Linked DNA regions of Xenopus tropicalis. The protein of the gene in region 3 interacts with the protein of the main gene of each other region in a biochemical or structural test. Links are inferred from orthologs where the notes say so. Each region holds a gene or a part of one and is shown on either strand. Other genes may lie near its edges. The genes, in order: grb2, sgip1, eps15, fcho1, ap1g1, epn1 and tfap2a.

Region 1 (4,270 bases), on a different chromosome or scaffold from region 3:
TGTAATGCCACACCAGTTCAGGCACAGTAAAGGATAAGATAGGGTGCATTGGGTCTGTGCAGGAGTGCTAGTAACGCCCCTTAGTGCTCTACCATGTTATTTTGAAGCAATGGAAGGTGCACTGCAAGATGATACATTCCTATTGTGAAGGGGGGGGGGGGGGGGAAGATGAACTGAGTGATAATGACATGGTGACACCCAAGTGGCAGGAGGGTTAGTAGCTCCCGTTAGTGCTGTATCTCAACCTGTGGGTCGGGACCCCTTCGGGGGTCAAACAACCCTTTTACAGGGGTCGCATAAGACCATTGAAAAACACATATTTCTGATGTTCTTAGGAATAATTTTATGGTTGGGGGGTCACCACAACATGAGGAACTGTATTAAAGGGTCGCTGTATTTTTTTTTTCCAGTAAGACAACTATCAGTTGCTCCTCAATGTAGTATGTGTTATTTTACATCTACACCCCCTGCTGTGAGGGGGTCTTAACTGACCAATGGCGCAAATGCCCTCACCATAGGCGTTGGAACTGGGGGAGAGAATTACCCTCACCCCCCCTGGTTTTGGAAGTTGTGGCTAAACAGAGGCAGAGGGGTGGGCGGCACAAGTGGGGCCTCTCCTGGCCCCCAACCAAAAACATCTTCTGCTGCCCCTGCCATACCCATAAACTAGGGTTGCCACCTCTGCCAGCTGAGAAAGTGGGTGGGGGGAGAGGCGGGGTCATGACAATTGCCCGATCACTGAATCAATGCAGGAGGGTTTGACTTTCCCAAAACCAGGTTGTCTGGATCAAAACCGGACAGGTGGCAACCCTACCTTAAACTGGCCCTGGAATGTGGGAAGATATAGATGGGTTTCACACAGGACACCATTAAACACACAGGGAGAAGTCACCATGATAGGGTTCTGTGTAGGCTTGCCACCTTTTCTGGAGAAAAATACCATAATTCCTGTGTACAGCCAAGGGGAGAGTTACAGGTTTATTAGTGATGTGTACAGCCAAGGGGAGAGTTACAGGTTTATTAGTGATGTGTACAGCCAAGGGGAGAGTTACAGGTTTATTAGTGATGTGTACAGCCAAGGGGAGAGTTACAGGTTTATTAGTGATGTGTACAGCCAAGGGGAGAGTTACAGGTTTATTAGTGATGTGTACAGCCAAGGGGAGAGTTACAGGTTTATTAGTGATGTGTACAGCCAAGAGGAGAGTTGTGAATATTTGGTGACCATTTGGACACATGACTATAGATAACCAAATAACCGCAGTCATTGTCCCAAGCTCAAGCCGTATTGACAAAACATGGGCTGCCCCGCCCCTCAAGTGCGTTGCGTTTCACGTCTCATATGACGTCATGCGCCGTTCGCAGGGACTCACGCAGCCCCGGAAGTATCGCGGGAGGATCTGCCCCGGGGCGGAGCGGAAGCGGCCAGGGAGAGAGACAGGAGAAGCGGCTCCGCGGAATTCGGTGAGGGTTCTGAAAAGCTCTATCGAGAGGTGGGGAGATGAGTGTCAGCCGTGTCGTAGAAGTCGATGTAGCGGTGGGTGGGTGTCCGGCTGTTGTTGAGTTGAAAGTCCCATGGGCTGCCAGGGAGGAGGGGGGATAGTGGGAGCTGTAGTACAACAGCAGCAGCAGCAGGAGTGGCGCCCGTTGAAGGGGTGCGCAGAGCGATAGCGATGTTGTTGGGAAGGAGAGTGGGTGAGGGAGTTGGGGAGGCTGATGAGGGGCTGCCGGGTGTGGGGTCGGGAGCAGCCAGTTGCTGTGGGTATGGGTCGGGAGCAGCCAGTGGCTGTGGGTAGGGGTCGGGAGCAGCCAGTGGCTGTGGGTAGGGGTCGGGAGCAGCCAGTGGCTGTGGGTAGGGGTCGGGAGCAGCCAGTGGCTGTGGGTAGGGGTCGGGAGCAGCCAGTTGCTGTGGGTAGGGGTCGGGAGCAGCCAGTGGCTGTGGGTAGGGGTCGGGAGCAGCCAGTGGCTGTGGGTAGGGGTCGGGAGCAGCCAGTGGCTGTGGGTAGGGGTCGGGAGCAGCCAGTGGCTGTGGGTAGGGGTCGGGAGCAGCCAGTGGCTGTGGGTAAGGGAACTGCTGGGGGGAGAGAGGCAGAAAGGGGAAGTGGGGGGAATTGGGGAGACTGAGGGAAGTGCTGAGATGGGCTGAATGCAAGGGGAACTGATGGGGGGGAGATCTATATCAGGATTCCTCAGAAGGGAAGTGGGTAGGGAAATCACACAGCTTGGGGCCCTCCTACTTGTACATTCATTTATAGGGCCACAAGCCTTAGGAGGGGACCTGTGTAATGGGAGAAATGATAGTTTGCCGGGACTGACATCTCACTCTCTGGTGCTGCGGGCTACACTGGTTTCTGTGCAGCCATGATATATGCAGTCACAGTCATTAGCATGTGGATAGGGCCAGGTGGGGTCAGATGGGCCCACACAGTATGATTGGCTTTTAGCATCCCTACCAGACTCCTCATTGGCTTAATTAACCTTTGCTGAGTGATAGCTGACTGTGAGCATTGTGTCTTGGGAACAGTGTGTGACAGCTGTGACAAAGGAAAAGAGACTGCTGATGGGATACCATAGTGGGGGTAACACAGCGAGAGAGAGCAGATGTGCTGGGGGGGTGAAACCAGGGGCAGAACAGGGACAGTTGAGTAGCTGAATAGACTGGAAATTGAGATTAATGAGGGTGAAGCAAGGGGAGAAGTGAACTGTCAGAGGAGGATGATGATGGGTAAAATAGGGCAAATATTATACTGGCTTCCAGACAAGGGGCAGGGGGGGACACAGACTTGGCAACTAAGGGCAAGGTGGGAAAGGAAGAATAGAGTCTGTTCTGGGGGGACAAATTGCCCTCATTTAGATGTTATAATTCACCCCCAGTAGAAGTGAATGGGAATTGCCACTGGGTGTAAGACCTATACTCTGAGTAGGATATACAGACCTGCTGGGCTATAGGAGCAGAAGGGGGATTGGAGGATATATACCAAACCTGGGGGGGGGGGGGGATATAGACTGTATGTGAGGGCTGAGGGGACGCCTGCTGTTGCAAGTGGGAGAAAGAAAATCTGGGCTAGAGGCGCAGCTGCATGTATATTTATAGTGTATGTATATATTTATCTTGTGTTAATTACTTACTGTAGGAAATCAAATCTGGGGCAGTGTGGTGAGATTGGGGTATAATTCACATGCTGGTTTCTAGGGATGCACCGAATCTGGCGAACCCCCAAATCCTATATAAAGCATTTGACCGATTCCTAATTAGCATTGCACACAACGCGTGGCAAAAAATGTTTAACTTCCGTGTTTGCATGACAAAAAGTCTGGTGATTTTTCGGATTCCGTTCAGCCAGGACTGTGGATTCGGCTGAATCTTGGCCAAATACTGGATTCGGCGCATCCCTGCTGGTTTCTGACAGATGCCTGCAACATGCGGCATTTATTATTTATATTTATTATCTGTTTACTGGCTTAATTATGTACCCGGAACATCTTTTTCCCTCTGCTTTATTTAGCAGGATGGGGGCTGCCATTGAACTTAGTTCGTGCGAGCCTTTTCCCCCCATAGGTTTCGGTGGCAACATCGCCACCTGGTGGCCATTATTTGTTTCCTTCTTCATACTAGTTCTTCCTTGATGAATTTGTACTTTGTTCACTTCGTTATATTGTAACACAGCTATAGTCTTGGTTATTTGCATTTCCTCTTATGAGTATGTGGTTAACCCATTGTTATCTTTTATGCTGTCTTGCACTCCCATACACGCCACAATCAGGGTTATAAATTTCTTGGAATAACACTATTCACCTGTTATGGACTCTAGAGGTGCAGGCTTGATTGCATTTGGAATATATAGGCCTGATCACTGCATGCTCAGCGATCAAATACATGGCTCGGAACCTATCATATTGGGTTGGAATCTGCTGATAAAGGGTAGCTAATCGGCTTTGGGCCCCATAACATCTAGTTGTGCTGTTGAAACGGGCCCTTTAAAACACTTTATTTGTGGATTAGATGTATGTGAGAATATATTGAATGTGCAGTGTGGCTTATTTATATAAAGCACTTAACCCCACACGGTCAGGCAGCAGCATCCAGCTAAAGTGCTTGTGTAAACCAGGCAATTACGCAGTTACTTTCCCTTTCATGTGGATGTACATGTTTTGTTTTGGCTACCCGGGCCTGTGCTGAGGGGTGGGGATTGGTAGCTACTCGCAGCCTGGAGAGCAAGCAAAGCTGATTGCTTCACTACCTGGCCATGGCTTGTTATGTATCTGATTATGA
Region 2 (4,233 bases), about 12 Mb from region 3:
CCAACACATGGAACCTACCGTGGCCTTCCTGCAGTGCATCAAAACTTATAGACGCAGCCATGGCAACAGCACAAAGGGACCTTTGAAAACGATGTAGTTTTTAGTGTAAGATACCTGGTAGAGGTAACATTACAAAACTGCAAAGTGTTAATCAGTTTTGATGTCTTATAGCAGCCAATCAGAAAGTAAAAATTACTGGTCAAAATCAATTGAAAAGCAATCATCTGATTGGTTGGTATGGTGTATTGGAGTTGGTGAAAACTTTGTGGCTTTTATTTTATTACACTGTTTTGTTAATAACCCTTAAACATACTACTGAACCAATGTTTCCTCTAATTTCTTTTTGGCTATGTGTGGAACAATCTTCTTTTGTGCGCACTTGTGCACGTGAACCATGTGCACTTATTTAAAAAAATACTGGTGTGCGCATTTCAGAATAAGTACAAAATTGTGAATTTATACAAAATTCTGAGTGCACCACAAATTATTGTATGCGCCGGTTTAAAATTTTGTGTGCACGCGCACAAGCACACAGCTTAGTATACCAAACTAACAACTAGACGCATCCAAACCCCATAGCATCATACCAATATTTGTTATTATGCCTAATGCAGGGCAATATACCTTTTACAGGGAGGCACAGGCCTGTTCACTTATATATGAATTCACATTCTTGTGTAAATTACAAATAATAATGTATTATATGGCACTTTAAAACTTATTAAAATGAGTACATTGACCTGTATAAAAGCATGGCCTTTATATATCTATGGGACTCCCCAGTGACTTCTAATATACAATAGAGAATACATTGTGCCTGATATCAGTGACACACATTTAGTAGGGATGTTTTACATAAAGTTTTAGCATACTTGTCTTGACTTTTTTTTAATGTTTTTTACATTGTTAGCCCCTTTTGCCTAGCTTACAAATTAACCAGCCAATATTTGACCAAAAAGTGTTATTTTATGCATTTATTTTCTGTTTTATATATTGTTTTTTACTTGGATCCACTGGGGCCTGGGATAAAATTTTCTAGTATGGATTTTCTACAGTTCATAAATATGTATTATCAAATGTTTTATTGAACACAAAATGACTTAGTGAGGTTTTGTGTAGACAACAGATACAAGCTGAACAGAACAGTGCTTTTAACAACTGTATTGTAATAAAGAGGATTGAACTTAATAGTATGATGGCAGGTCCTTCAAGACAAGGACCTTCCGTCTGTGTAAACACGTTTTTGAGGTAATAGTGTATTTTCTATTTATTACATGTTTTCCAGGCACGTTTATGTGAACAGAGCCGACTATACTAATAGTACTATATATTGTAGAATAAGAAAAATAATTTCTGGGATCTAATATGTTGATGTCCGAACTGCATCACGTGGGAGCGCGCAAGACGGCAGAAATCCAGTGGATGTGAAACGACATGTAACGCCAGGTTAGCGCAAGAGGATTAGGTGGAGGGGAAGTGCGTCACTGGCTGCCTGGGGGTAGGAGTGAGGGGGCAGGAGAGCACAAGATAACGGTGGCTCTTCGGGTGTATTGTGTCAGGAGATGAGAAGTGCGCTCCACGTGACTCGGCCGAGGGCTGCAGGGATTGGCTGGCCTCCTGGCAGGCTGCGTGAGCCTCCCCACCTCCTTTTTTCTTCCCTCTGTATCTCAGCATGGTAATGTCTAGAGCTCAGCATCCTTATGGGATCCGCTAGGTGAGAGCTGCAGCCTGGCCTGTACCTTTAGCTGCAGCGGGGGGAAACTCGCATCTCTCCTGCCATTGAGATATCTGCTTACCACTCTCCGAATAGGGGGTCAACAGTGTGTGGAACTGGACTCTAGCATTTGGTGCATTTTGTTCACAGCCTTCCGTGGAGATAGAGGAATGATATTCTGCCACCATGATGGAAGGTAGGATCATTTTCTGCTCTGCAGTTTTTTTTTCCGCCGGCACCTATCCTTGGAGTGAAATTCCTCACGATGCCCTTTGTAACCAAATTCCATTCCGCGTCCATATTGCGAACTTGTGTATAATGCAGGGGATGGCATTTAGTTTTCCCCGGTGTCACCGTGACAGAGTGCTGCCTAATTACACTGCCTCAGTGCTAGCAACCATGATTCGTGTGGGTCCCTCCATCAGTTAAACTACAGCTCTTATCCTCACCCTATAATACAGAAAACTGCACATATGTAGGTACCACAATATGTCTCAGTGTAAGAGGTCAGTGAAATCCGTCAGGCCTAGAGGGCACTGTATAATTTGCCAAACAGCCTCAACCCACCGAAAAATAAATAAGAAAATCCTTAGCCATTTATTGGGGGGGGGGGGGGGTGTTCCCTGTGATTGTTTTAAGAAAATAATTTTTTAAGGAAAGGTTTAATCATTTCACTGGCCAGATGCTCTCTCTTCCTTGATTGATTCTATGAATAAATGACTTTGAATGGCAGGAATTAAAGGGGCTGGGTGTGTTTTGTTAGTAACCTCCCCCATTCCTCTGTATTCAGTCAGTGGCTAGTCTCATACCGGAATTGGCTCAAGCATTTAATGGTATTTTCCTCAATTGATATATTTTGGGTTCATTATTTAAGTAAAAAGTTTCAAATGATAAAGCGTTTAACTTTACCCTGCTAAAACGCAACTAGATTTAACCTTTACCAAAATGTCTGTGCTGTAAAGGCATTTACAAATGTTTTCCATTACTTAATGTTGAGTTATACCTAGGTTTGTATATTATTTTTCTCACAGCATTGATCAGTAGGTTGACCCTAATTAATCTTGTTTATTAGGCGGTTAAAAAATGCCTTGGCAACAAACTGATGTTGTCCAGATGTCCTCAATCACTTGTTACCTTGATAAACATTGCACTTAGGCTATTCCCATAGCAGCGCAATATCACTTAGTAAAGCCTCTTGACGTAGAAATGGGAAATATCAACCTGTGCTACTTCAAGCACCTGTGAGATGAACAAGTTTAGCTTTAGATTCAGTATAGGAATCATACAGTTTAGTATGATTTATCCCTATGTATTTAAGAGGCTGTCATACTAGAAAGCTGTGAACCCCACTTATTTCAGAGGCTATCAAACTAAAGAGCTGTATGAATTCTTAATAAATACAATAAATCTTTCAAATCATTGACTTGCTTTTCAAATATGTTAAAAGGTAACACTTTAAGTGTAGAATAAACAATTTTATATATACTGACCATACTACATTACTTATTTGAGTGTGAACTCTTATTTAGGGCTCCAGCTGGATGCCTGTGGGCCAGATATAGCCCTCCAAGCATGCCTAAGGTCTCTGTAGGCATATTTATTCAAATAACTTTTTTTAATAATTGCATTGCTGATCAAACTGGACCAAATGGTTGTGTTTGACATTTTTTTTATAAACTTGACACTTGCTTAATGATCTTACAGTTTTCTGCAAGCTAAGTTTGGACATTTGAAAATATGTACAAAAAAAGTAAACTGAGCTGAATGAGGACACATTAATTCCATTATTTCCAATGCTGACAGCCTGTGTTGTAATTTGTGGTCCCAATGGCATGCTCAATAGAAAACCTATTTTTTTGCCTGCTTCATCAAAAGTTCATCAAATGTCATAGACGCAGTTTGGCAATAAAATTGAATTCAAATATGTTTTGTCAATATTGCTAAGAAGAGAACTGTGCTATATTCAGAGTCTCTCTTAGTTAATAACATTTTACAAGTGTTTTTCAACTGACATTATTACCTTGAAGACTTTATCCAGGTTGAAGTAACATATTTACTGCAGGCTATGCTTTTAATATCTAGCAAAGTTGCCTATTTTGGAATGGATCGATAGTTAGGCCTGGTACATTCCTTACCTGCACTGAAACGTTGTTTCCAACTAAAGGTGGCCATACACCAAGTACATCTAAATTGGAATGATTGAATCATTTAGCTCCTTGGACCAGTATGTGGGCCATATCTATTACCTGCCTAATGCAGCCCTGACAGATGGGATTGTCCAGCCTTGCAAGTAAACATCTGACTAAGCTCAGGCCATCATTTTTACCCTGTGCATGGCCTGTTAAGTTGCCAGTTTATGAACAGTCTTATGATTGTTATTGTTATGGCCAAAAACTGTATAGACATATGATTATACAACCCTGCAAATGTCAATTGCTTTATGACCACTCCTGTGAGAAATGTCCATTTCTTATTTGGTTTTTTTTTCGTTAATTTCTATTTTTGATTAATATACATGA
Region 3 (3,500 bases):
TCTTTAGTGGATATAAAAAAGCACATTAAAAAGGATCTACATTTGCACTGCAGTGTCCTTACCTTTTATGCAGTAGTAGAGTTTCTCTAATGAATCAGCTGAACCTGAAGTGGAACTGAATTAATGTGAAATGTTTTTTTCTGTAGGAGGTCAGTTTTCAGGTTGATCCCTATGACGTGAATCCAGTTGCTCCCCCTTCTGCTCCTGTCCAAGATCCCGGATTGGATTTCTTTCAGAGTGATCCTTTTGTTGGCAGTAAGTCATAGAAAATGTCTGATTGAGAAGGTGTTCAGAATACCACAGGTTTACTTCTTATACAGAAAAATAAACAAGAGTTGAATGCCATAATGGCTCTTCACAAGACTACAGACTGACTGTAGGACATTTCTTGCCAAGAAATACTTTATTTGTAGGTGCCTGATGAATAGATACAGGCTTGAAAAAGTGGTCATTTTAAGAATTGCCTGCAACTTCCTTAAGGCTGACAAACCAGGAAGGGAATCCTCATACTTAAAGGAATGGTAACAAGTGTTTTAAAGTAATTAAAATGTAATGTGGTGTTGCCCTGAATTGGTGTGTTTGCTTCAGAAACACTGCTATAGTTTATATAAACAAGATGCTGCATAGCAGTGGAAGCAATTGAAGTACGGCTAAATGACAGAGGTTAAATAGCAGATAACGGATAAGCTCTGTAGAACATCATTATATTCTTTAGAGCTTATCTGCTATATATGCATTTTATCCCATGAATGGCTGCCCCCATGGCTTCAAAACAGCTTATTTGTATAAACTATCATAGTGTTTCTGAAGCAACACTACATTGCATTTTAATTGCTTTTTATTTGGAAAACAATTATGTATGCTATGTTAAAAAAAACATAGTTCTTAATGTCTGTCCCTTTTAAAGCAGGTTTGAAAAGCATGTGGACCTTACATATGGTTTTATTTGCATATGATTTCATTTATATTCCAGGCGATCCTTTTAAAGATGATCCATTTGGGAAAATAGGTAAATTTTCTTTTTAATTTTTTTTTTTTTTAATGTAAATGTCTGCTTTGGCATGTATGAACTGAAATCCTGTGTTATTGTGGTCTTATATATGGAGGCACATGCACTGTTTCCTTCACTAGTGTAAAAAGCTGATCCTCTGCCTTCCACTACATACATGTGTGTGCGACATGGGATCAGCCCATAATCAATGTGTACACAGAGAGCAGATTTTGATGCGTACTGTACTGAAATCTGCTCTGTGTGCACTGATGGGCTGAACCCTTGCCTAACAGCGCACACATTCAGTTAGCATAACTATTGATTGTTGTTCTTATATTTACAGAGATATATCAATCCACTAGTTATATATAGATAAACCCCATATGTTGTTTTACATGAGGGGTTGTTTACTGATTCCCGGGGTGCAAATGCTTAACAAGCACTCAAGCCTCAGGGAATGCTGCACTCTGGATTAAAAATCTAGAGCTGAGAGTGCACCAAGCAGAGTGTGTTAGGGTAAGGCACCATGGAGTGTTGGTTCTGCTGGTCTGAGCCTTGAGTTTTGTCTCAGCTTGAGAAAAGCGAAGGTGCTCCTGTTGGCCTAAAAACACCTGCTTAAGGGGCCTTATCCATAGGGGGCACAGGCAACAAGGCCCACTGCTGCTCCTTAACTTGCACGTCTGAATGTCGCACCAGTTGGGGGCTGGGTGAGGACACATACATGCCCATCCCCCCTTCAACAATACCATGCTGACTAATGCAGTCATGTAGTCAGTATTTATGGGGAAAGAAGCAGGTCTCTGCATTCCTACTTTGTACACTATGTTCTGTTTTGTTTTAAATTACTCCTATATTATTTTAAATCTGGGCACATAAACCTATTGTCCAAAAGCCTGTACGTTATGAAAGTCTCTGAATATGACACGGTGCATATGAAATAATTTTCTTGAGGGTCGTAGCACAAGTCACCTAAAATACCTTTTCACTAGCCAACATTTTGATGGTAACCCTGACTGTATCCCTTAAAAGCTTAAAAGGAAGTATAAACATTTAGTAGTGTTAGAATGTTTGTGAAGTCTAAGGAGATATCTCTGCCTAGACTAGCAATATATGGCAACACTTATCCATGTATATAAACTTTAATAAATAAAAAAAAAAAAAAAGCTTCTGTTTGAATTGCCACATGTAAAACAAGACTTTTTTTTAAAAAAAAATCTTTTTTTCTCTGTTCCTGACAGATCCATTTGGTGGGGATCCTTTTAAAGATTCCGATCCGTTCGCCTCTGATGTATTTTTCAAACAGGCTTCTGCAGATCCTTTTGCATCTTCTAAAGTGGATTCTTCTAAAGAAGATCTTTTCTCCAAGTCCAAAGCGGATTCTTTCACATCGTCGAATGCAGATCCATTTGTGTCCTCCAAAGCAGAGTCTTTAACATCTTCAAAAGCTGATCCTTTCCAGCCCTCCAGCGCTGATCCTTTCAAGTCCTCTGAACAAGATCCTTTCACATCTGCCAAAGTTGATCCTTTCTTAGCCACAGAAAGCACTTTTTCTTCTGTACGTATCTGTATACTGTGTGTCCCGCACATGTGATATAAAATGGAAGACCTGCTTATGGCCCTCTAGATGATGTTAAGCTTAGACTGTTGTTGAATAATTACTCAGAGCATTTTTGGAATATGAATCATAGCTGTTATTGTATAAATATTCAGTTGAATATTAGTGGGGCGGATTAGCTTTTATTACTTTATCATTGATAAAGTGGAAGCACTGTACCATATGTAAGGTTGTACTCTTTCTGCAGCAACATGTTTTCTTCTCAGTGTTAGTTTTAACACTCTAGCTACTTTAGAAATACCAGCTGATGTGAGCACATATTTTATTGCAAACAGATAATGCAAACTGGCATAATGATAACCCTAAAAGCATAAAAACTGAACTGTGCACTGAACTTTACTCAACCTCTCACTAATGGGAAGGCAAATTCAAATCCACATTAATCCATTTTTATCTAGGAGAAGCATCATGGAAACACTGGAATCTATGTAGCACGGCTGAGTCATATGCATTAGATTTGTTTATAGAGCCAAACCTTCCCACCCCAATGTGTCATGATTAAAACATACGCTTTTTTTATTTTTTTAAACAATAATGTTCTGTTTTTATTTACAATTAATAAGCATATTTTATCTTTTCTCAAGGAAGACACTTTAAAAAATAATGATCCATTTGCTCCAGGTGGAACTGTAGTCTCAGCTGTTAGTGAGTCAGGTGAGTCAGCCTTTCTTTTTCTTTACCTTTAGAGAATGCTGGGAATTGAATTATGGACACATGATGGACACAGTGCAGCATCTCTGCTATGTCTGCATGAGCAAATTGTATTTGTCTTTTGTCCTGCAAAATGTATATAATTTTATTTTCCTTTGTACTGTCCATAGCATTATTTACATCATATTTTTGGCATGAGTGAGATAGTTAAACTATCTGTCATGATTTTTATGGTGTACTCTT
Region 4 (3,500 bases), on a different chromosome or scaffold from region 3:
TATTCTCAGGTATTAAAATCAGGCATCTCTGCAGCTCCTTTGTACCTCACATCAACTTGGAAGTGTGGTCCATCCTCGACAGACCTCTGCTTGGACTATAGACAGAACATTGCTTTTTTGTGTGATGTGCAGATTTTGTTGCCTCTGGATGAACCTTTTTCTAACTTGCAATCTGACCCTCCTGCTCGCTGGTGAGGAGAGAACTGCACTGAATGTTTTTACATATGTATATATTATCACGATTTCCTCACAGAGAGCAAAATAAAGCATACTGTGTTTGTAATTTATATGTGCTCAACATTTTTTGGCCCCAGCCCACAGGTTAATTCTTTGGATAATATAACAAAAACATTATAGTTTATAGTCACTGCATGGCCCAGCCTATTATGATGGTTAGGAAAATATCATCCTCTTTGATACTATGCAGTGATGGACCTGAAGGGACCTCTAAATCTAATAATCTATATAATTTTCTCATCATTGGTCTGTATTCTAAAATCTGGCCTTGCTGCAATGCAAACCAGTATCTGGCAGCTACTGTATAGTATTTACTTTCAGAGAATTCAGTGCATTCAGTAATAACTGCATACCACTAGACCAGGGGTGCCCACGCTTAAATTATGCAGTGGTCTATTTTTAGTGTTACCACCTGACGTTTTATATTACCTTAGCAAATGTCACTTCATTTCTTTTTGCCAACAGAAAATGTGTTCTTTTTTTAAATAACAATAACATTTTTTAAATAAACAATGAATAACTATTTTTCAATCCATTGCTCCTTACCTGATTTAAGGCATCTGTATGCAGACAGTGCGGGTTGTTGTGATCTATTGTACAAGATCTGCTGGTAGATCCCAATATGCTATTTGGGAACTCCTGTTCTATACGGTTATATGCTGTGCTGCCAGAGTGTTACATTGATGGATTTTAAATGTATAGATAAAATATTTATGTATGGATACATTGAAATAATGTCATATATAATATGCAGCAAACCTCTACAGAACAGCTTCTTAATTAAATTTCACTCTTTCATTAGTGCTGAACGGAGATTACACTGGCAGATCCCTCATGAGCCTGCAGGGAATGAACATGATGGTAACACTCTCTCACATACTCTCTTATGCATTGTACAGTATGCAACAATGTAAAATTCTTATTTAACCAGTATTGTAACTAGACCCCAAGTGCAAGCCAAGCACAGGCTACCTACAGTTCACTTAAACCAGTTTCTTCTCACCTATCTACCCATGTCCCTACTCTTCTGCATGTGAGTTTTGAATTATTTTTTCTGCTCATTGGGACTCCTTAGGTCATGGAGCCTAGATGTGATCACAGATGTTGTATGTCCCTGCAACAAAGGTGACCTATTGATCAGTTTGATGGTTTAAAGCAGGGATCCCCAACCTTTTCAACCCGTCAGCCACATTTAAATGGAAAAAGTGTTGTGGAGCAACACAAGAAAGAAAAAGGTTCCTGGGGGTGCCAATAAGCGCTGTAATTGGCTACTTAATAGTCCCTATGTGGACTGGCAGCTTACAGGAGGCTCTGTTCGGCATTATATTTGTTTTTTATGCAACTAAATCTTGCCTCCTTACCAGAAATTAAAAAATAGGCACCTGCTTTGAAGCCACGGGGAGCAACATCCAAGGGTTTGGTGAGCAACATGTTGCCCCCGAGCCACTGGTTGGGGATCACTGGTTTAAAGGGATACTGTCACGATTTTTATGGTAATATTGGTATGTAGGCGGCCATCTCAGTGCATTGTGCCTGAGTCTCAGCTTTCAGAAGGAACCACCGCTACACATTAGAACTGCTTTCAGGTAACCTATTGTTTCTCCTATTCCCATGTAACTGGAGATGCCATAAGTTGACCCTGGATTTCTTATGATTGAGTGCTATTATTGTTCTGCTGATCGACTGCTGGGAGGGGGGGTGATATCATTCCAACTTGCAGCTCAGGAGTAAAGTGTGACTGAATTTTATCAGAGCACAGGTCACATGGCTGTGGCACACTGGGAAATGAAGAATATGGCTAGCCCCATGTGAAACTTCAAAATTAAATATTAAAAACTGTGTTTTTGAAAAAACGATTTCAATGCAGGATTCTGCTGGAGAAGCTCTATTAACTGATGCGTTTTAAAAAAAAAAAAAATGTTTTCCTATGACAGTATTCCTTTAATTGAAATCAATCAATCAAAGCACATAAACTTTAAAGGAACAGTAACACCAAAAAATGAAAGTGTATAAAAGTAACTAAAATATAATGTGCTGCTGCCTTGTACTGGTAAAAGTTGTGTGTTTACTTCAGAGAGTCTACTATAATTTATATAAATAAGCTGCTATGTAGCCATGGAGGCAGCCATTCAAAGGAGAAAAGGCACAGGCACATGGCAGATAACAGATAAAACACTATTGTATTCTACAGAACTTATCTGTTATCTGCTATGTAACCTGTGCCTTTTTTCCAGCTTGAATGGCTGCCCCTGTGGCTACACAGCAGCTTATTATATAAATTATAGTAGTGTTACTGTTGCAAACACACCAGTTTTACCAGTACAGGGCAACAGTGCATTGTATTTTTATTACTTTAAAGCTCTTTCATTTTTTGGTGTTACTGTTCCTTTAAGTGGGTCTTTAGATAATTCTTTGCTTTCTCATAGATATCACTTCTGGTGTACATGTGGCATATGCAGATATTTGTCTGTGAGCTTTTCCAATCACATGGATGCAAGATGGCTTATGCCTACTTTTGTGTAACTGTAGCTGGCAAAACTAACATTTCAATATAAAATAGTTCTTATCTACATTGTTCTTCGTAATGTTTGGGACAAAGACGCATTTTTCTTTGACTTACCTCTCTGCCCCTTAGTGTAAAATTTTAAATCAAACAATTCAGATGCGATTAAAGTGCACTTCAGACTGTAATTTAAAAATACACAGAAAGGGGTTGTGGGAGCGACTGATCTGGCCAACTACAAGCATACAAAAAGAGAGGGGGATTGATCAATGCACATTCCCTGGTCCCCTGTTTCATAAGTAAATTATCTATGCTAGTGCATATATTGACAAAAAACAGGGGTTTTTAGTTACAAAATTATGATCATAAGATTGGTAAGCCACCATACACATCAAGGTAAACACTGTATGGTGGTCCTATCTATTTACCTCTGGTCATATTTTTCAAAGGCTGGAACTCCCGTGCACTGGGACCAGGGAATGTGCATTGATCAATCCCCCTCTCTTTTTGTAATTTAAAAATATTTGCATACATTTCAGTTTCACCATGTATAAATTACAACATTTTTTATACATAGCCCCCCTCATTTCAGGGCACCATAATGTTTGTGACACAGGTGTGTTGCATTGCTTCTGTTATGAAATTTAAGATACCGAAAGTCATTTGAGGTAATTAGGTAAGGTTTATTAGACACATACGTGGGTTCTGAGCAAAACATAGTCAGAACTACAGAAGAAAGCACAGGATTTATATAGACTTT
Region 5 (4,145 bases), about 37 Mb from region 3:
CTACAGTTTGCTAAAGATCATGTGGACAAACTAGAAAAATACTGGAAGAATGTTTTGGTGATGGATGAAGATAAAAAAGAAATTGTTGGCATTTTACATTTGGAGAAAAAAACACTGCATTCCAGCATTAGAAGCTTATTCCATCAGTGAAACATGATGGTGGGGGTGTTCTGGTTTGAACCTGTTTTACTGTATCTGGGCCTGGACAGCTTGCCATCATTGATGGAACACTGAATTCTGAACTATTGCAGAGAGTGTTAAAGGAAAATGTCAAGACATCTGTCTGTGAACTGATCTCAGAAGACAGTGGGTCATGCAGCAAGACAATGATCCTAAATAGTCGTTCTACCAAAGAATGGTTAAAGGAGAATAAAGTAAATATTCTGGAAAAGCAATGCCAAAGTCCTGACTTTAATCCAATTGTTATGTGAGGGAACCCACCAACATCCAAGAGCTGAAGCTGTTCTGTATGGAGGAAGGGGCTAAAATTCCATGGCTAAAAGTCAACAGGACTCATCAACAGTTACCGCAAACATTTAGTTGCAGTTATTGCTGCACCAGAGGGTCACACCAAACACTGAGAGCATGATTCGCTTGCTTTTGCCACTCGCAGATATGTTATTAGATCATTTTTTTCAATAAATACATGACCAAATATAATACTTTTTGCTTCATTTCTACTTTCAGTTCTACTTTTAGGACTTGATTGAAAAGGTGATGATGTTTTAGGTCACATTTATATAAAAATATAGAACATTTTAAAGGATTCACAAACTTTCAAGCATACTGCAGGGACTAAATTGCACCAGGGAAGTTATCTACAGCATTAAAATATGTATTTTCTTTCATATCTGTATTGGTAGTAGACTAGTAGGCTATTGAAAAACCAAAGTTTATTCATTTTAGTGCAGATATTATTAAATAAGCCCTACTAGTTGAAATGCAAAATGTTGGACCTCTAATGTTGTAAAAAAAAAAATAATTACATCCTTTCTATGTTTTTAGCTTTATTTGCAATCAAGTTTACTGGCCAGGTCTCCAACCCTTGGGAAGGACTTCCAATATATATTAGGAACGGAAATACGATAATACTGCCGCCAGGGTTCCCCGTCTGCCCACATATGCAACTAGCAGAGCGACTGGCTGGCTCCAGTTCCATGTGAGAATTAGGCAGCGCTACAGGAACGGCTTTGGCTAATGCTCCCTAACTAGAAAGGTCAGTATAACAGGCTGTGGCACAATCACAGGAAGTGAAGCTCAATGACAAGCTCAGAACTCTGGTTGACATAATCCCCGCCCATAGTTACCTGGGTCAGGTGGCACGTGACAATAGGGGCACCGCCCTCTCTTCCTTCCGGGTCTGGTAGTGACGGGGCACAGAGTTGACGTCATCACTGGCTGCCCTGTCAACTTGCCAGTGTCCCTCCGCGTAGAGCAAAGAGTTCCGGCCCTGGGTGGCTTCTTGAGTTCCGAAGCCGATCGGTATACAGGCTGTCGTTTGGAACACGTTTGGCGTTTTTATAAAGATCCGGAGTGTTGACCGCTGGTCTTGAAGCCGGTGACTCTACGGGATCCTTCCGCACAGCCGCGGTGCTGCGGCCCAGCAGCCGCCATTTTGGTTTGTCCCGGAGCCGTGGAGAGAGCAGCAGTACCGGGCGGTGAGAGGAAAGACCCTTGGCTAATGACAGTGATTAAGGTGGAGGCTAGTGACAGGTTGGAGGGGACTGACAGCAATAGTGTGACTAGAATCTCTCTGAGGGCATCAGTGACACTTAATTTGTGAATAGTGGGGCGTGAGGAAGAAAGTGGAAGATCACTGACCAGAGGCTGTATGCAATGGTGAAGGGACACTGACAGAACGAAAGCCTGATAACGCGTGTGTTGTCTGTGTCAGTAAATATTAATGTAGCTTCAGTGATCTGGTGGAAGGGTGTCCGTGAAAGACTTTGGCATTAGACTTGTTGCACAAGTGACTATATGTATGGCAGGGGCATTTAGGGATTTTCTGAGGTGCATCTGGATAGCCTTCTTGTGAGATAGGGTTGTGACAGCTAAAAGTCTGTGTGGGTTAATTCATATGTGTTGTGATTTCTGTCCACTATAAGGGACACTTGAGGTTTCATTTGCTGTCACTCTGTCTGCTTATATATAAGTTCTTATGTAGTCTGTGTGTATTGCGTCTGTTGGTATACATGGAATAACTGGAAATGTATTGGCCCCACAGCCCTTGGGGAAGGTGACATTTTTCATAGGCTTACATTGATATTGTACACCAGCTGGGGCAATGTTAGCTTTGTGTGTGAATTTTGAGGCCAGTGCACACAACAAATTGTGGATTACACAGTTAAAATGTGCGCCCAAAAGAATTATTTTAAGCACATAGCCAAGAACGAATTAGAGGGAACATTCATTGGCGGCCATTACACTCATGTTCCACCCAATAATTGAAGGGTCTGTTTACCATATCTTTATGCCCATGTATGTCAAGTTTTTCTGTACACCTCATTCTTTATGCCTATATCTTAGTACTCCCCTCATCTTTTATATACGTGTGTGTGTGTGTGTGTGCAATGTCAGGAGCCTGTAATCCACTATGGAAAAGTATAAAAGCATACAGGATCTATATAGTGTTGACACATAATACAGGTATGAGATCCATTATCAGGAAACCCAAACAGCTCCAGATTATATGAAGGCCATCAACCCTATTTTAATGAAACCATTCATTTTTAAAAAGGATTTCATTTTTCTCTGTAATAATAAAACAGTACCATATACAGATACCAAGACATAATAATCCTTATTGAAGGTAAAAAAAAAAAGTTTTTTCTACTAAAAAAAAATTATTTTTTAGTAGACAAAGTATAATGATCCAAATTACAGAAAGATTCCTTATCCAGAAAACCCCCAGGTCCCAAGCATTCTGGATAATGGGCCCCATACCTGTATTACACACCGTATCTCATTCATTTATTATAGGCTTTAAATATGACAGTATGCATGCTGTACATGTGCTTTGTTATTTCCAAGTAACATATTTTGCCGGACTACCTAACCTTTAGAGGAACACGGTACCTAAGTAATTACTGTGTAAGATAATTTTGTAACTTTCATAGATAATTACATTTTGAATACAGTAGCAACACGTAGGTTAGTTGAAATACATGTTGTGTATTACATTATGATGTCTTGTAGAATGTTGGTTAACAAAGAGGACAAAATTACATTCCCTTTCTAGTAACATGATTTTCTCCTAGGAAACCGCTGATACAAATTAAAATATCTTCAAAGTGTCAACACTTTTTTTTTTTAATTTAAATAATCACTTTGCTGACTCAATAAAATTGGTTTCCTAGTAAAAGCAGCTGATTTATACTGCCTGCTAGTTATAGGTGCATGTATTTTTTGTACAGTTGCCTGCTGCTTCCAGAAATGTGCATTAGAGACCTCCATAGTGCATGCTTCACAGTTTTATTTACATATACATTTTAGAAGTCATTTTCATTGTTTATGCGCAAGCGCCTTTTGTTGTTCTCCTTTTTAGTTTTGTTCTCCTTTTGCCCTTACTGAGCAAGTGCAAGTTAGTCCTGGCATGTACATTCAACTATAATTTAGAGCACTGCTACTGACCTGCACATTCCAAATAAAGTGGAATATTTGCTTTTTAAAAACTGAATAACAATACCCCAGAACATTGCAGATCTCTATTATAAAAAAAAAAATTTAAGTTTTCCTGTAAATAAAGCTTTTTTTAATACATTTATTTTTTTCCGTGTATCATCCCAGGATACAGTATTGTAAGTTTAAGTACCAGAGTTCCTCCTTTTGGACCATATGAGGCACTGAGTTTGCTCACAAACCAAATACATTCTAGGCTGCATTAGCTAATAAATGAGGGCTCAAATTAAATTATAGAAATATCTATTGATAAATAGCAGGTTTATGACAGTAGCATAAAGGTCCAGTAAGAGAGGACTATTTTGCTGGTTACATTTCCTGAGCAGTAAGGTTGATATGGAGGCTGCATGACATATGCGAAGAGCCCAGACTTGGTTATAAGAGAAAAATAAAATCTTGGTTTTACGCACCACAAACAAGTTTTATTTGTAGATCGAACATATATGTATAGCATTGACAAAGCTGTG
Region 6 (3,500 bases), on a different chromosome or scaffold from region 3:
TCTTGGACATTGGGGTTTAGGAACATTTATATACACGCTTGTGATATTTATATTGGATCTGTTTTTTTAGGAGTCTCCCTAGTAGGCAGACACAAAAAAGATACATCAATATGTGGCCAACATCCATACGTAACAACCTTAATCCACCTACCTCCTGGATTCCATGGATCAGACACAGCTTTGACATCGGCAGTGGTAACCGCTTGTGTTCCACCCCAGGGGTCAGCAGAAGTGGAGTTTATCTGTGCACCAGTTCCCCATGGATCAGAGCTTGCACCTGTAGCCACTGGAGGGCCTCCCCATGGGTCAGACGCTGCTGGTAGTGTAGACGTGGCAACTCCACCTGCCCATGGATCTGCAGGGGGAGCAGCTGAGGCACCCCATGGGCCTGCAGAAGCGGCAACTGGTGCAGGGGGGCTGAAGACATCAGCTAAATCCATTAGTGATGACTGCTGGAGTAACAAATATAAAATAAGCTTTTCACAGAATATAAAAGGAACCAAAGCGCATTAAATTAAATTTATAAATGCATAATGCAGTGGGAAATAAATATAGATGCAATATTCCACAATTTGGTACTGTAAATGCTAGACAACTGATGTTCAGCCACTCCGAGGCTGAAATTACATGGGATCATTGCCATTTAATTACGCTATGAATTGGCATCATCAACCACATCCTCACTATACAGATAAAAAGTCACAGATCACCTCTTCCTGCTTGGAAGGTGCCTCTTTTTTGCTCTCCTCTATAGCCATTTGAAGCCGGAGGTCATCTCCTCGTCTGATCCTCTCCTCCTGATATAAACAGAAATGAATAAATAATGTCTTGTTATCCGTCTCAGCAGCGCACTGGGGAGATTTCATTTACTCTTGACTCAAGTGAAAGCGTTACAAATAATGTACGACTTGCGGATGTAATGGTAAAATAGGAGACGCGTGCCATGGTCTAGAATGTTTTCTTAAAGCAGCAATCATAGCAAATAAGTTTTCCTACATAACCCAGGGAAAGAAAGGGTTTTAAAGGAGAAGTAAAGCTTAACCAAAGATATAGGGCAGAAATACTGTACATTGTACACGTTTTGGGTTCCTGTACCAGCCCAAGGCAACCACAGCCCTTTAGCAGGAAAGATCTGTGCCCCCAAAGATGCCCCAGTAGCCCCCCATCATCTGTTCTGCTGATTCACTGCACATGCTCTGTGCTGCTGTCACTTACTGAGCTTAGGGACCCACTCACAATATACTGTATATATAGAATAGAAATGTCACAATATAAGGCTGATGAGTAAATAATTTAGATTATAAGTACATGGCAGCTTAAAAAAACAGTGCAATTAGCATTAGTTTTTTGCTTGATAATTTGAATAACCCCTAAGCTTGGCTTCTTAACAGCTGCCCAGACCACACTGAGCATGTATGTGTCACTGACACTTCTAACAGAATTCAAGATGGGGGAGCTCCTGTGACAACTTTGAAGGACTGAATCATTCCTGCTACAGACATGCTGAACTTTTAGGTTGGTGCATTAAGTTCGGTATACAAAACATGGCATAGCCATATTAAATGTTTATGGTTTAGTTCTTTAAGTATGGCCCTGCTCTTAATTTCAACAGCTTAAACAGCTGTTAAAGAGAAGGGCTCCCAGGATATGTACTGGAATTATTTGTATGTTTGGGGAAAATAAATGTACAAAGAAGCATACACTTTCAAGCATGTACAGTTTAACACGTTTGTATTCCATAAGCTAGAATTGCTGCTCAGATTTAGGATAGGGGGACTGAAAATTGGGGAATACTCCGACCCTGTCAGGGGAAATGTGCAGTTCTACAGTGAAAATGATGGTGAGTTTTCATGGAGACAATAAGAGGAAGATGGTTAATAATACATATATATATATATATATATATGTTAGGTGCAAGTAAATATGAAAATGAGGATTTTTTGCAATCAAAGGAAATTGTTACCCCAAAATCAACACAAGGCAATTTACACACACTGAAAGAATCATGCTTTTGGTACATACTGTACAGCGGGTACAGCACTTATCTATTTGTATGTATTATTTATACATGTCTATGTGAGGTTTGGCTTGCCATTTTGGAAGTTTAGTGCCAACTGCTTTGTGTTAGTAAGTGGGGGGGGGGGGTTCAGATGACAGATGACCAATCTGTGACGCATGCAAGGCAGAAAAACTAAAGACACTCATAATGAAGCTGCAATCTACTGCATCCAGCTTGGACTAGAGAGTCACATCTAAAAGCTGTTTCAGGAATAGTAACAGAGACAATATAGGATGGTTCTCATAAGGGTCACTGACTGACATGATCGCTATAAAGAAAACCTTCATGCACCCTACAGAGCACATATAGATTCCCCGAGGCTCAGAATAGATGTGTAACACCAGGAGTTTGGGGGGGGAAACTTTATTATTAAATGTCTGACAAAGCCTCTAACAAAGCTTGCTTACCTGCACGTTTGCTAGAAATGGAATTACAGGAGGAGTGGGAGAGCACTTTTTATACTTACCTTTAGCCATATTTAGTATCAAGAAATCAGATTTGAAAGCATAATTTCAGCATTATTAGTAAATATAACAAAAATCAACAAGTGATCAGGTGATGCTGCTGACTGCATTGTTATGGGAGAGGAAACATCATTATAAAGACAGGTTAGAAACTGTGGATTCTGGTTTTTATCTGTGTGTATAAAATCTTTTCTAAAAGAACACACCGCCGTACATTAAAGGGGTGGGTCACCGTCAGGTTAACGTTTAGTATGTTACAGAATGGCCAATTCTTACAACTTTTCAATTGGTCCTCAATTTTTCAATTGGTCCCATGTGTAGTTGGACAGGACCCGTAGCCGTGTCACATGACCTCTGGAGCTGCAGCGCAAGACAGACGCCGTGGGAGGAGACGTTTCATGAGAGATCCAAATCAAAATCAGCACGGAAAGGAATCCGGAGAATTTTTATATAAGGCACCCTCTGCCAGGAGAGTTAGTACTTAGCCGAGAGCAGGGGAGTGCCTTAGGTACAGACTGCACAATAAATTGTTTGTGATCGGGAGATTAGAGGGAATGACACGCAGGATTTGTGAGAAGTTTACTATCTGGGAGGACTCTGGTTCTATTTAACTTAACCTGGGACTATTGGTAGCTATATGCTATGGACACTCTATTTAGGAATTGGATGCCATACAGGAGTGCTGTAAAGTTTTTCCCTTTGTTTCGTCTATTCATTTAATTTTATTTTTACAGTTTTTGAATTATTTGCCGTCCCATTCTGACTTTTTGCAGATTTCAAATGGAGATCACGGACCCCGGCAGCCAAAAAAACTATTGCTCTGGGAGGCTACAATTTTATCGTAGTACGTATCTTTCTATTTAGGTCCTCCTCTAGTCATATTCCAGTCTCCCTTTTTAAAGCCACTTCCTAATTACTAGGTTAAATTGGACCCTAGCAACCAGATAGCTGCTGAAATTCCAAACTGGAGAGTTGCT
Region 7 (3,500 bases), on a different chromosome or scaffold from region 3:
GAAAAATATTGTGTGTATATTTTCTATCCTGAGGTTGGTTTTTTATTTAAACGTGTAGTGCAGTCGCTGATTGCTTTCGATGTACTTCCTATAAATCCATGATGTTTTTGTTCAGCCTGAGCACATTGTTACAAAGGGTTCTTTGCAGCAAAATGCAAAGGGAACAGGCATTTCTAATAAAAGACAGACTTGTCTCTCAGATCATAACAAACCATTATGGTTTGTGCGGCTGAGGCTTTTTATTCTGTAGACATGCAAGAGGGCCGTGCACTTTTATCTAAGAACATGGCCACTGATTCCAACAGAAATGTGAGTCTGTGCTAACCATTGCCTTAATGTATTTATAGGCATCTTTCAGCACATTCGTGTGTTGTGGGCCTGTATAATAAACATACTTTTCTGCTGACAAAATGCTGGTCTTTAGACTGGTATCTGCAAGGAAAGCTTAAACAAGTTCCTGCCAGTACAGAAAGGAGTTTAAAGGTCTTGCTGCTAAGTTGAAGAGTATCGCTTTAATACAATTTGCTTTTGTCTTTTTTGTAGGATCGCCATGATGGCACCAGCAATGGGACTGCTCGGTTACCCCAACTGGGCACGGTGGGACAGTCTCCCTATGCCAGTGCCCCCCCACTCTCTCACACTCCCAATGCTGACTTCCAGCCCCCCTACTTCCCTCCGCCCTACCAGCCAATATACCCCCAGTCTCAAGATCCTTACTCCCACGTCAATGACCCCTATAGTCTTAATGCCCTCCATACCCAGCCACAACCACAGCACCCAGGCTGGCCGGGACAGAGACAGAGCCAAGAGACTAGTCTGTTACACACACATCGGGGGATACCGCACCAGCTCTCTGGCCTGGACCCACGGAGGGATTACAGAAGGCACGAAGATTTACTACATGGGCCTCATGGACTCAGCTCAGGACTGGGGGACCTGCCTTTACACTCCATACCTCACGGAATTGAAGACGTATCGGTAAGCATAATCCCTTCAATCCACTCCATCTAACACTAAAGCCAAGTGTATTTCTTTAACTGCCGGGTCTCCAGTCTGCCGCCCACCAGTTGTGATACACATTTAGGGGAGTTGTAGTTCAGTTAGAGCGATAAGGCCACAGATTGGGCATCTATGTGGGATGAAGCGACCATAGGGAAACCCCAGACCTAGTCATATTCGCATTATAGCGTATAAATTTAATTGCAGCTTTCCAAGAGCATGTATGTTGAATAAAGGGCATCTGCCAAAATAATTATACCAACTGAAAACCTAAGGCCACAGGCAGGATAGATGTGTTGTGTAATAAATAATATGTCCCTTATAATTAAGGAAATGTATGCAGGAACAGTCGAATGCGACCTGAATGCGTACTTGCATGTGGCTTTTCTGACTGACGAACCCCTGATTTATTAGATCTATTTTTATTCTGCCAATTCCCTCATTTTTTACAAAGAAGGACCAATGTGTTTATCTGATGAATCGTTAGTGAGTTACCAGCCTTTAGTAAAGTCACCTCCCCAACTAATATTAGATTAGGTATCATGGGAAGATTGAACAATAAATTATTTGGAGGTAATTCGGTTATCAATGGATGCAATTAAAATGTTTCACAATTAAACATGACAGTGATAGTTTGCTTCAGCAACACCCCCCCCCCCCAAATCCCCATATCCAACACCAGACATACTGAAAACAGATCAATAAAGCTACATTCCACAATTCCATTTTAACCTTGAAATATTCTGCATTATTCATTTAAACAGATCATTGGGGTTAATGAATCCATATATCAGTCTAAACATATTAATAGGTAATAAAATGAAATGTGTTTAGCTACATGGTGTTGCGATTTGACAGTTTTAACCATTAGAAATTCACACTTTAAGAATGAAAAAAAAAAATTTAAACAGGCCCTATACACACGTGATGTTATTTTAAGCCTTTAAAACCATTAATGTTGATTCATTAGAAATGATGTATCACTTTGTATAATTAATCGAATATTAACCCTAAATTTATTAAAGTGGGCACCCTGGCCTAAATGTATACATCATTTAAATAAGAATTAAATAAGAACAAAATACATTATGAAACATAAATGTATAAACATAGTTATTCACCATTAATGTATTTGCAAAACGGTAAATTGGCTAATGTTAATTTGTAGCGATTACCCAATTACATAGTATACACGAATGCCTATCTAGATAGACCCAATGCACTAGGCGTGTCAGTTTCACTAATTTTATTGCCAAAGGACAGTGCCAGTCTAGGCTTCATTTTTGTAGAATATAAAACGACTGTTCAGTGTAAACAGAAATATTGAGCATTTGAAACCACAAATGTCAGAACATAGAAAAGGATCCCGGTAGATACATGGCAGAACAGAGTTCACATTGAAGATGTTTAAATCTGTATCAAAGCGAGTAGGGATGGGGGTGTAACAGTCTGGGCTATCTAGGAAACTAGTTAATGATAAAATAGCACCATGGGGTACTTAAATGTGGATCTGATGATGTGTTGAAGTGAACGTTTCTAGAAACCACCGAAATCAAAGTTTTATATACCACAGTACATTTACTTTATGGGCTTAGTTCGCAAGCATAAAGGGATCATATTTCCCCATATACTTAAAACACAAGAACTGTAGAAGTCAATGCTGAACATTTCTCAATTTAATTATACTTAAATGCAGGAGCACTTTAGGCAAGTTACAAATGAGAGCATGGAGTATAATAAAATCTGTAATAGACTAACTTAGTACCATCCACCCGGAATCATTGAGATCAGGCACAATTAACAGGAGCATAAATCCAGGAAGGGATAAAAAAAATGCTACAATCTGTATTATTGTTGGACAAAGCCTTTTCGAAGCACTGTGCCTTTAAATCACACTGCCAGAGAGCTGTAATATCCCCAAAGTGAATCAGGACCAATTTTTTTTTGCTGTAAACAAAGGGATGCATGTTATTTTACCCTGCCAAGCTGCAGCATCCTATTTTTATTTAACCACGTCATTTCAGACTTAATCTTAGGAAACCATCATCTAAATATTCAATGTGTTGTGGTGAACTAAAACAAATTTCCCTTTCTATTTCGGTTTAATGTTGCTTGCCACTGTCACTGGCAGAAGTGTTTGGGGACCTACAATAAGTAATGATTTACCCCTCTCATCACACAATTATACTTGCATATATTTTATGGCTCCCCTTTCATTCATGTCGCACTTACCCTTAATCTCTTATCGTTTATAAACAGTATTTGAGACGCAGCGAGTATTATAATCTTATTATTTATACTGTTCAAGTAACCAATCGAAAAATGTAGGAAAATATCAATACATGTATAAAGGGAGCTTAATATAATTTTTCGTTGGGGATACTGTATCCAGTTTTGCATTAAATCTAGAACGGCAAGATCTTTGTCTCTACTGACAGCAGTAAGCGAATCTACTCTAATGAAAGTGTAATAATATATATTTTTTTCTTTTTTCTTGCAGC

The links.
Region 1: the proteins of eps15 (region 3) and grb2 form a complex in vitro, tested with the Homo sapiens proteins (2 studies listed by BioGRID, with this or other methods). The link is inferred for Xenopus tropicalis from reciprocal best matches to the Homo sapiens genes EPS15 and GRB2.
Region 2: the proteins of eps15 (region 3) and sgip1 form a complex in vitro, tested with the Homo sapiens proteins (2 studies listed by BioGRID, with this or other methods). The link is inferred for Xenopus tropicalis from reciprocal best matches to the Homo sapiens genes EPS15 and SGIP1.
Region 4: the proteins of eps15 (region 3) and fcho1 form a complex in vitro, tested with the Homo sapiens proteins (2 studies listed by BioGRID). The link is inferred for Xenopus tropicalis from reciprocal best matches to the Homo sapiens genes EPS15 and FCHO1.
Region 5: the proteins of eps15 (region 3) and ap1g1 form a complex in vitro, tested with the Homo sapiens proteins (2 studies listed by BioGRID). The link is inferred for Xenopus tropicalis from reciprocal best matches to the Homo sapiens genes EPS15 and AP1G1.
Region 6: the proteins of eps15 (region 3) and epn1 form a complex in vitro, tested with the Homo sapiens proteins (4 studies listed by BioGRID and IntAct, with this or other methods). The link is inferred for Xenopus tropicalis from reciprocal best matches to the Homo sapiens genes EPS15 and EPN1.
Region 7: the proteins of eps15 (region 3) and tfap2a form a complex in vitro, tested with the Homo sapiens proteins (2 studies listed by BioGRID). The link is inferred for Xenopus tropicalis from reciprocal best matches to the Homo sapiens genes EPS15 and TFAP2A.

Annotation. Positions count from the first base shown.
Region 1 is NC_030686.2:44,468,157-44,472,426, reverse strand, and holds the start of grb2 (growth factor receptor-bound protein 2), read left to right. Parts: upstream 1-1,470; 5' UTR 1,471-1,490; intron 1,491-1,515; exon of another isoform or gene 1,516-1,538; intron 1,539-4,270. UniProt on the Homo sapiens protein: Non-enzymatic adapter protein that plays a pivotal role in precisely regulated signaling cascades from cell surface receptors to cellular responses, including signaling transduction and gene expression.
Region 2 is NC_030680.2:83,925,345-83,929,577, reverse strand, and holds the start of sgip1 (SH3-containing GRB2-like protein 3-interacting protein 1), read left to right. Parts: upstream 1-1,433; 5' UTR 1,434-1,900; coding exon 1,901-1,910; intron 1,911-4,233.
Region 3 is NC_030680.2:96,281,152-96,284,651, reverse strand, and holds part of eps15 (epidermal growth factor receptor substrate 15), read left to right. Parts: intron 1-146; coding exon 147-255; intron 256-973; coding exon 974-1,009; intron 1,010-2,229; coding exon 2,230-2,546; intron 2,547-3,190; coding exon 3,191-3,260; intron 3,261-3,500. UniProt on the Homo sapiens protein: Involved in cell growth regulation. May be involved in the regulation of mitogenic signals and control of cell proliferation. Involved in the internalization of ligand-inducible receptors of the receptor tyrosine kinase (RTK) type, in particular EGFR.
Region 4 is NC_030677.2:111,226,859-111,230,358, forward strand, and holds part of fcho1 (F-BAR domain only protein 1), read left to right. Parts: intron 1-9; coding exon 10-191; intron 192-1,039; coding exon 1,040-1,098; intron 1,099-3,500. UniProt on the Homo sapiens protein: Functions in an early step of clathrin-mediated endocytosis. Has both a membrane binding/bending activity and the ability to recruit proteins essential to the formation of functional clathrin-coated pits.
Region 5 is NC_030680.2:59,329,871-59,334,015, forward strand, and holds the start of ap1g1 (AP-1 complex subunit gamma-1), read left to right. Parts: upstream 1-1,345; 5' UTR 1,346-1,681; coding exon 1,682-1,696; intron 1,697-4,145. UniProt on the Homo sapiens protein: Subunit of clathrin-associated adaptor protein complex 1 that plays a role in protein sorting in the late-Golgi/trans-Golgi network (TGN) and/or endosomes.
Region 6 is NC_030683.2:104,131,802-104,135,301, reverse strand, and holds part of epn1 (epsin-1), read right to left. Parts: intron 798-3,500; coding exon 711-797; intron 453-710; coding exon of another isoform or gene 450-452; coding exon 152-449; intron 1-151. UniProt on the Homo sapiens protein: Binds to membranes enriched in phosphatidylinositol 4,5-bisphosphate (PtdIns(4,5)P2). Modifies membrane curvature and facilitates the formation of clathrin-coated invaginations. Regulates receptor-mediated endocytosis.
Region 7 is NC_030682.2:90,356,221-90,359,720, reverse strand, and holds part of tfap2a (transcription factor AP-2-alpha), read left to right. Parts: intron 1-14; exon of another isoform or gene 15-216; coding exon of another isoform or gene 217-309; intron 310-543; coding exon 544-978; intron 979-3,499; coding exon 3,500-3,500.